Mus musculus: one gene and its partner. The protein of the gene in region 1 purifies or fractionates together with the protein of each later gene. This does not show direct contact. Links are inferred from orthologs where the notes say so. Each region holds a gene or a part of one and is shown on either strand. Other genes may lie near its edges.

The links. Proteins that work in one complex are often made in the same cells at the same time.
Region 2: the proteins of Gatad1 (region 1) and Rbbp4 purify together in Homo sapiens (affinity purification with mass spectrometry; 4 studies listed by BioGRID and IntAct, with this or other methods). This does not show direct contact. The link is inferred for Mus musculus from reciprocal best matches to the Homo sapiens genes GATAD1 and RBBP4.

The regions. Positions count from the first base shown.
Region 1 is NC_000071.6:3,644,584-3,649,467, forward strand, and holds the start of Gatad1 (GATA zinc finger domain-containing protein 1), read right to left. Parts: upstream 3,354-4,884; 5' UTR 3,037-3,353; coding exon 2,797-3,036; intron 2,327-2,796; coding exon 2,201-2,326; intron 358-2,200; coding exon 298-357; intron 1-297. UniProt on the Homo sapiens protein: Component of some chromatin complex recruited to chromatin sites methylated 'Lys-4' of histone H3 (H3K4me), with a preference for trimethylated form (H3K4me3).
Region 2 is NC_000070.6:129,332,418-129,337,315, forward strand, and holds the start of Rbbp4 (histone-binding protein RBBP4), read right to left. Parts: upstream 2,954-4,898; 5' UTR 2,817-2,953; coding exon 2,801-2,816; intron 2,228-2,800; coding exon 2,080-2,227; intron 1-2,079. Other genes in the region: Zbtb8os (protein archease), read left to right, coding at 3,626-3,722. UniProt on the Homo sapiens protein: Core histone-binding subunit that may target chromatin assembly factors, chromatin remodeling factors and histone deacetylases to their histone substrates in a manner that is regulated by nucleosomal DNA.

The DNA of each region.
Region 1 (4,884 bases):
GGTCTTCTGCTTTACATCTTCTCAACAACAGAATGACATACTCATTCTTGTTCTATTTATATCAAATTAACTAAGCTGTCTGATTCCAGTACTGTTTCTCCCTATGCTTCTGATATCCATCCCAGGTCCTCCTCCCTGGATCCCGAGATGGAAAAATCTCACTTTTGAATATTCGTAATAGTTCATCTTTATGACATGTAAAACTTCCATAAATCGGCAGTGGTGGTGCATGCCTTTAATCCCAGATCTCTGAGTTCAAGGCCCAGCTGCCCTTTCGAAGTGACTCCAGAGGCTTACCTTGTAGAAGATTGACTCTGCAGTGACTATGGTAGAAACAGATTCAGGCGCTTTGATAGGCTACAAAAAAACAGACGCAAAAACATTTGAGTACCTATATAGTATGTATGGCCATTTTACCATCTACATGAGAACTATCTAATTTGAAAAGAACAAAATACTATTTGGTGACAGAAACTACACAACACACACACACACAGAATGTGAAGCAGGTGAATATTTCCACAATTTTTGCTACCAGTAACTTAAAAGCGCAGAAAAACAAAAGGTGAAGTTTCTGATTATGCTGCTAGGAGCTAACACAACACAAAGCTCTCTAGCACTCCAGTAGACATTAATAGTCCAAGTATAGAAATACAGTGGCTCTAAAAGACTGAGCATGGCCAGATGGAAATTATAAAAAATATACAGATAAATATAATTTTGTTGCAAGCCTGAACTCTTTAGGGTTCTTAGTAATTTGCCACATTGTACCACCATTAAAATCCCTTTTTAGAGCTGCAACACAAAGCTTATCACAACGTAAAAATGGCCTTTCCTGACTTTGTGCCATTCTCCCAAGAATGGATATGCAGAGAAATTGATAATGAAGTAACTGAATAGAACACAGTCTGAACTCGCCACGCAAGCCTAACAGCCTGAGTTGACACTGGGAACCAAGGCTCCTGAAATCTGTCCTCTGATCTGACCTCCACATAATGTACCCGGCATATGCACCAGCACTCTTATGTACACAATTAAAAACACATGTAAAAAGAAATTAAGAGGGAACAATTAGGCCTGGGAGAAGGCTCTGCATTTGAGAGCACTTGCTCTTTCGGAGGACCCAGGTTCAGCCCGCAGCATTCACTGGCAGCTTCTAATTGTCTGTAACTCCAATACCTAGGGAGCCAGTGCCTCTGCTAGCCTCTGAGGGTACCTGGTGCACACATGCAGCAAAACACTCAGACACAAGAAATACAAATAAATCTTTAAACAAGAGTCTACTATCTTTATGACACTTCTCCTGGGCCCGTTTTACAAATGAGTATGCCTACTTTAGAAAGGTGTTTACTGGCAAGTGAGGTATTTTTGTTCCAAAAGTAACAACCAAGCTGAGATAAACAAAAACATCTACAATATCCTTCACTGTCCCAAATGTACAAATAAAACAAAACAAAACAAAAAACCCTTACCACAGCAGGCATTAAACAATCTTCATACATCAGCTTTAGAAAAAGTTTTGCATTCATAATCACCAAACTCATCATGAACCAATAGATATTTTTTTCTGGGTCTATCATAACAAACAAGGTACTGATGAATTATGTTATTTGCCTCGTTCTTTAAAAGACATAAAAAAGTTTTGTTCTTTTTTTTTTTTTTTTTCCTTTCCTTCTGTTTTTCAAGACAGGGTTTCTCTGTGTAGCCATGGCTGTTCTAAAACTCATTTTGTAGATCAGGCTGGCTTCAAACTCAAGAGATCTGCCTGTACCTGCCTTCTGAGTACAGGAATTAAAGGTTAACACCATCACTGCCCAGCAACAAATTTTTCTTAATTAACTATGTATCAAGAGTCATAACTTCATTAAATTGTCAATGAACAAATTTAACCAATTTATAAAAAAAAAACCATAATTTCTCTTTGCATACAGATACACTGTGCTAAATTATAGAACATTCCTCTAGATTCATATTTTATATCTTTCAGATGAGAAAAATAAAAGCTGAAGAAAAAAAAACTGAGAAACTGCTTTTCTAATGTCAAAAACTGCCAATTTCTTCCAGGAGAGCTGTCTTTTGGGAAACCTTGCCTTCCCTCCAGAATACGGCCTAAGTGCACCTGAGAGGTACACCAGCCGTGGGAAGGCCCACCACACCCACAGTGTCCCATTAGGAAGCACAATGTCCACAACCATCTTACATTTTTTAACTTAAAAATATGTCTTCTCCCTTTTCCTTTCGTGGAAACTTTCTTTTCAGCAGCTGGAGCCGATTTGTATTTGGTATTTCTGAGCCGGGCCGACCTTCTGTGAATTTCTTGCTTACTCTGTTACACAATTTAGAGAAAAGGAAATTAAAACTGCAGAAGAAAAGCCAATACAATAACCTCACAAAGATCAGAGGATAATACACTTTGTTAAAAGAAATTAAAAACAAAAAACTTAAAAGACCGAGGGCTGAGATGTTAAACTCTGTAGGGCCTCCCAAGAGATGGCGCTGCTTTCAAGCGGGAAGAGGACAGAAGTGGGGGGAGGACAAGGCAGGAACTATTTATTATTCGTTTGCTGAACTGATCTATTTTACGCCCCCCCCCAAGTTTCCTGCATATCTCAGAACAGAATTCTAATGCTGACATTTTTAGCGACCTACTAATTTATTAACGTGACAAGGACTTGATGGGCAAGAGGTCCTCGACCTACAAGCAAATGGCCTCGTCCGGCTGCCCCGGTGCGTCCCGCACCGCCCGGTCTACGGCAGGAAGCCCTTCTCCCGAGGAGGGAGAGGCCGAGGGCTCACCTGCTTGCCGCCGCCGCCCCCGTTGCTCTGCGAAGGACCGGCCGAGGTGGTGGCGAAGGTGGTGGTGCCGAAGCCACCGCCGCCGCCGCCACCGCCCCCGGTCCCGCCCGCCACTCCCGCGCCGCCGCCGCCCCGGCCCGTGCAGTGATGGCAGAGGATCTCGCCCTGTGGACTCTTCTTCCACATGGAGGACGACGTAGTCTTGCACATGCTGCAGGTGGGCTTCAGGCCCAGCGGCATGCTGGCCGGCTCGGGCGGCCCCCGCGGGCGCAGCGACACGGGAATGGCGGCCGTCTGCACGGGCCGCCCAGGGGTCGGCCGGCCACCTCGGCGACTGGAAGAGCAAGGTCGGAGGTGCTGGGCCGCCCGCGCCGGGACCCAGCGGCCACCGCTGACCCCTGGAGGCGGGAAGCGGGCTCCCGCAGCCCGGGACCCAGCCCTGGAGCTGGGCCGCCCGCGGGGCACGCAGGCCCGATACTCGGCGCGGCCTCCCGGGAAAGCCAGCTCCGCCCTAGGGGACGCTATCCGGGGCGGCCGCCGCCGCCGCCGGGGTCCCCAGGGCGACCACGACCCTGCCTCCGCCCACCGGGGCTTCCGGCGATGGGCGGAGCTCCCGGGGCGGGGCGGGGCGGGGCCGAGTGAACCAGTGTGCCTGACCTAGGCTTTGGGGCTCCGGAAACCCCGCCTACTGGCCGGAAGTGGCCCTGCCAGACTTACCATTGCCTGTCACTCTTCTGAGTTTACAACTGGCTGGGGGGGGGGGGGGCTGGGGGGGGGGAATGGATGTAAAATTTCCCGTTAAAAGTGAATTTCAAATGACTAGTGAGAGTGGCCCATGTAATAGTAGTTATATGATACTCATACTTATCCTGTGTTTTCATTTGATAAATGTAGCCTTATTGATCAAGACCCTTTTAAAAGTCTTAATTAATTAATTTGACTTTGGAGGCTAGGGAGGTGACCTGATGGTAAAGTTCTTCTGGCACAAGCTTATGGCCTGAGTTTGACCCCCAGTACTCACGTAAAAAGCTAGGTGTGTTAGGGCTGGAAAGACAGCTAAGACTAGATCCAGTATTAGCACCTACACTGTGAAACTTAATTTAACATTCTTGCTTGGCATACTACTTAACATTAGAATAAAGTGCTCTCGAGCCCCCTCCCCCCCAAAAAAAGAATTGAGGGTCTAAGAAATTCATATAATAAGAACATTCAGACAGAAAACAGCAGAAACACCAGTGTGGACTGGATGAGATTAATTTATTAGTCAATGATTTATTTTACCTGGGTCAATGTAACAGTGCTGTGCACTGAATACTGAACGTGAGGGGTTTATGAGTTAGTTGGGTTAGAAATGAGCAATGTGCAGAAGAATTCCTATCAATTATTTCTCATGAGTTATACTATAATTAAAACGTTACAGTTTTGTATTACACAGTTGGGTTCAGAGCTGGGATATTTGTATCTTATATGGCTTCACATCACTTATTTGCATAAAGAACAAGCAATACATTATACCTTCCTAACGTTTAAAATAAAGTATATTAGCATAAAGGCTCCCAAAGAAGATTCCTGGAGACTGCATTGAACACTGCTTTAACTAGGGGTGATTGCTGGAAGAATTTATCGTTTTCTGTGAACTTTGGTTCGAGGAACTGGACACATTTCAACCTGGATTTAAATCACTGCAAAACTAGTAGTTCTCTGGGAGGACCATTAGCAAAGCAGATACAATACACTTTCACCTGGAAAGGAGATGTGTATTATTTGAGAGAATTAAGCCTGAACATTGGCTATGTTCGTTGAAGTCTAAAGCTCCCAGGGAAACTAGCCCAAGGAATGAAGGAATTCCTAAGTACTGGTTACAGGTAAATAAATATTTCTTTAATTGAACAACTGTATGCTCAGTGGAGTTTTATCTATATGTGGCATGTGTATACATGATCATATGTGCCTGTATATGTGTCTAAGGACACATGCGCGTGTGTGTGCAGATAAGCACATGTGTGGAGGCTAGAGGTTGGACATTAGGGGTCTCCCTCAATCACTTTCTACCTTTTTTTTTTTTAAACAGTTTTTTTCCTGAACTTG
Region 2 (4,898 bases), on another chromosome or scaffold:
GGAACTTCAATTTGGGTCCCCCTGGTCTACAGAGTGACTTCCAGGACAGCCAGGACTATAAAGAGAAACCTTGTCTCCAAGAAAAAACAGAAACAAAAAACCCCCCAAAAATAGCCTGTCTCCCTGCCCCCCAACACAGTTTTTAAAAAAGTGTGGGAGAAGGAGGGGGACCCTATAATGAACTATCATGTAATAGCTAAAATTTGAGACTCGCTGTTCCAACACACACATTTTGGAGAGGACAGAGTTGTATTATGTAACCCAGGCTGGCCATTATGCCTAGTGCTAGAATACAGACCTGTACCACCATACAAGTTTTTTTCTTATGGTCTGTCATAGGCTAGCCTTCACCTCCTGATCTTCCTGCTCTGCCTCTTAAGTGCTGGGATTACAGGTATGTAGCACCACAGACCCTCTCAACACAAATTGTTTAACAACCACTGAGAACAGATAGAGATAACTCTACTAAGCTTGAACTCCCAACTAGTTTTTTAATCTAATAAATTCCCAATTCCACAGGCAAGAGAGATAGTTCAGCAGCAAGAACACTGACTGTTCTTTCAGAAATTGTTTCCCAACACTTCTATGGCAGCTCCCAACAGTGTAACTCCAGTTTCAGAGTGTTCCAGCCCTCTTCTGACCTCTGCAGGCATTGTACTCACACGCTACAGACAAACATGCAGGAAAAACAAAGACTCCTATGTATGAAAAAAAAAAGTCCAACTCCAAACTTCTGGGTGCCTGCATGGATTTGCTCAACACCCTTCAGATAAAGGTCTCCATCTCTCTCTACACTGCTGCAAAGGTAGCAGCCTCATTCTTTTTTTTTTTTAAGAGTTATTTGTTATTAAATCTTAAGTACACTGTAGCTGTCTTCAGACAGACCAGAGAGGGTGTCAGATCTCATTACAGATGGTTGTGAGCCACCATGTGGTTGCTGGGATTTGAACTCAGGACCTTTGGAAGATCAGCCAGTGCTCTTAACCGCTGAGCCACCTCTCCAGCCCAGCAGCCTCATTCTTAAGTTACTAGTAAAATGCACATGAACTTTCCATGACAGTAGAGATGTATTGCAGATGGTACTGCCTTCCTTACCATGCACAAGGTTCAATTCCTAGCCCTCAAACCAAAACAACTCTTTACTCCAAATTTCTATTACCTGCTGAACCCCATCAGCCTCATAATTGAATTCTGCACGTATCTTAACTCTTGAGTTTCCAAAGAATTCAGTACATTTTTGCCAAATTTACATTAGTAATTACCCACATCCACCATCTTTGGATTGCCACTTGTTTCAGCAGGCCAGTCTGGTAGTTCATGCTGACAGACTTTCCCCTTCATTTTGTGTATGCAATTCGCTGTAGGGTCCCAGCCCCCCCCCCTTTCTGTGCTGAGGATCAAAGTCCCCATCAGTAGGTCTCAATCACTAAACATTACAACCCTTCTGCCCCACCTCCCACCAAGCTCTAAAACCTCACACTACTGCTGAAAACACTCGCCCCCACTTCAGTTAGGCAGACCCCAGATTTATCTTGCTATTTATTAACCTTATAAATGACTTGAGAAATCAAATGTTTTGTTGAATAAACTGGACCCAGAATAACTTTTGAAAACGGTCAAGTTTTATATTACATGGCCAACTCCAGTCTTAAGAATGGCTATTCAACTCCATGCTGAGGGAAAAAACAAAAACAGGGCTGGAGAGCTGGCTCAGCGGCTAAGAGCATTGACTGCTCTTCCCAAGGTCCTGAGTTCAAATCCCAGCAACCACATGGTGGCTCACAACAATCTGTAATGGGACCCAATGCCCTCTTCTGGCTTCAGTGTATTCATACAAATAGAGATGACTTAAAAAAAAAAAGTAAAAGAAAAAGAAAAAAAAAAATCAAACAACAACACAACAACAGAGCATGTTTTCTTTGCAGGGTAAATTACAAAATGATCTTCTGTTTTTGACATTATTTCTAGTCGAGGAAAATAAATAGTACTCATAAGCTCTGATAATGTCCCCCCTGAGTGACTGGAGGGCAAAAAAATTAAAATATATGAACTATCAAAAATATTCAAGATTCGCGTCACCTGGTCACATCTGGAAGCCACTGGGCAGTTAAGCTGGGCCACTCCAGGGCATGGGTCATCACCAAATCATAAAGAAAAGGGGTGTTCTTCTTCCATATTTTGTACTCCTCGTTGATCACCCGTTCTTCCACTGCGTCGTCAAAGGCCGCTAAAATGTTTTTAAAAGACAAATCAAGTTAGCGAACGTAAACGGAAAGGGCACAAACCTCTCCAAGCCACCGGCGTAGCGCCCGGATTTTGACAACGAAATGGAGATTCATCTTAATCTCCCAGGTCGCGGGCACCAACGCCACTCTCGGCCGCGGCGGGCCGGAAGTCCTGGGGCCACCCCAGCCGGACACTCCGTTACTCCTTCGGGGGCCGATGGTGTCCAACCCCGAACGAAGCACGGTGGCGCGCGCCAAGTCCGCCAAACCCGGGGAGGAGACCTGCGCATCGAGCCTGGGGATGGAGAGCGGCGCCCCGAGTCTCGGCAGGCAGAGGGACCGGCAGGGAGCCTCGTAGTCGCCTAGGCCGGAGACCTGGCGTCGCCTCGCATCCGCTCCGGAGGAGCTGCTGCGCCGTTAGCCCGCCCCGCCGGGGAGCTCAGTCCTCAGGCCGGCGTCGCTGGGACGAGGCTCGCCAGAGTCGGGCCTGCTCTCCGTCTCAGGCCGCGTAACAGGCCACGACACAGCCCTACAAGCCAGCACCGTCCCTTCCGAGCCGGCCTCGGCACACTCACCTTCCTTGTCAGCCATGGCGGCAGGAGAGCCGGGAGGGGTTGGGGGATCCCGGGGTCGTGCGTTGCAGGAGGGGCGGGGAGGCTACGAGCGCTCCACTCCGCGCGCGCGGCCTCTATTGTTTCCTGCGGCCCGTGCGTAGGGGGCCGGCTCGCGTGCCTTCGCGCCAACACCGACCAATGAGAAAGCGCGGGTCTGAGGGGTGGGCGGAGCATCCGCCTCGCGGCCTATGGAGACGCTCGAGAGTCGTTTTCTCCAGAGTCCCGAGGCGCGCGCGCTCCGCCCCTTCTCTCTCCCCCACCCCCCACCACAGTCCGGAGACTTCCACGGATTGCGCGCGCGCCCCGCCTGCCGGGATGAGGCCCGTGCAGATCACGTGACATACACCCTACACGCTCATGCGCAGCCATCTTCTTAGCAGGCCGTTATGCTGACAACTCCCTCAGGGTAGCGAAAGAATTTGGAAGTGTTTCCGGGTCTGGTTAGCAACTCGGAGGGCCAGACGAGGAGAAAACGCATCACCGTTTAGACTTACAGGTGCCTAATTCAAGGTGGCGTCTTTTAACTGACTCCCTCGGTACTAATAGTGATGAGTGCAGGAAATAAGATGCTGGTCTCTAAAACATGTTATAAAAGCGGCAGGACCGAGCCTGGCAGCCCGGCAGCCCGGCAGCCGCAAGCGGGTATATCCTTCCGCGAGCTTGCAGAATGGAGTCCTGGTCCTTTTAGACCCGCTGCCAAGGGGGTGGGGTGTAGAGCGGAAGTTATGGCGCGGGGCCGAAGTCTGGCTGATGAAGGGCGGAAGTAAGAGTACCAACTCCGCAATCATGGCTCAAGAGGAGGAAGATGTTAGAGATTACAATTTGACGGAGGAACAGAAGGCGACCAAGGACAAGTATCCTCCAGTCAATCGAAAATATGAATGTGAGTAGGTGGCCCACATCTCTTGCATTCGGACAACCTGCGGCTTCCTGCTTCGCCCACTTCTTTGCCCTAAAGGTGCTCTGGCGTGATCACAGTGTGCCCCTCTTTGGACCCAATTTAGGGGGAAAGTGAAGAAAAAGATCACCTTACTAGAGAATGAAGAAACCCGAGGCCGTATCCCCTGCCCCCATCCATTCTAAAAGTCCATGTGTGCCTGAATCACACTTACCTTTGGGGATAGAGTTAAATGGTGTGGCGCTGGTCCAACATTTATCATTGTAAATTATACTTGTGCATTAGTTGTATTTTTAAGTGATTTCTGGGTTGTCCTCGAGTTTCTCCCAGTAGGGAATAGTGTGACCAGGTTAGAGTAATCAAGACATACCTTTTTCTGTGCGTGCGTGCGTGCGTACGTGTGTGTCCACAGCCCAAGATTGGATCTTATTACGTACTGCAACTTTTGCATCACGTTAAATTTTTTTGAAAGATAAAAATTTAGCCGGGGGCTGGTGAGATGACTCAGTGGGTAAGAGCACCCGACTGCTCTTCCGAAGGTCAGGAGTTCAAATCCCAGCAACCACATGGTGGCTCACAACAAGATCTGACTCCCTCTTCTGGAGTGTCTGAGGACAGCTACAGTGTATTTACATATAATAAATAAATAAATATTTAAAAAAAAAATTTAGCCGGGTAGTGGTGGCGCACGCCTTTAATCCCAGCACTTGGGAGGCAGAGGCAGGCGGATTTCTAAGTTCGAGGCCAGCCTGGTCTGCATAGTGAGTTCCAGGACAGCTAGAGCTACAGAGTAAGGCCCTGTCTCAGAAATAAAGAAATTTCTTATGTCTTTAATGGACATCCTAGACTAGTAGTCTACCCCTGAGCTATAATGGCTTCTGCCCTACAGTAGTCTTTGAGTATAGGGTTCCTGAGATTAAAAAATTTGAGAACCACCCTATATAGCAATGTATCATCTTTTTTAAAAAGTTGAAAGAATTGAGTATAATTTACCTATGCCCCAGTAAAGTGTTAAGTACTTTCCTTTTTGTGTGTGTGACAGGATTTCACTCTAACCCTCACTGACCTGGAACTCACTAGGTGATTCCCTGGTGCTGGAATCACAGACATGGTCCACCACACCTGGCCCAGATTATTATTGTTGCTAAACAGATCTCCCGG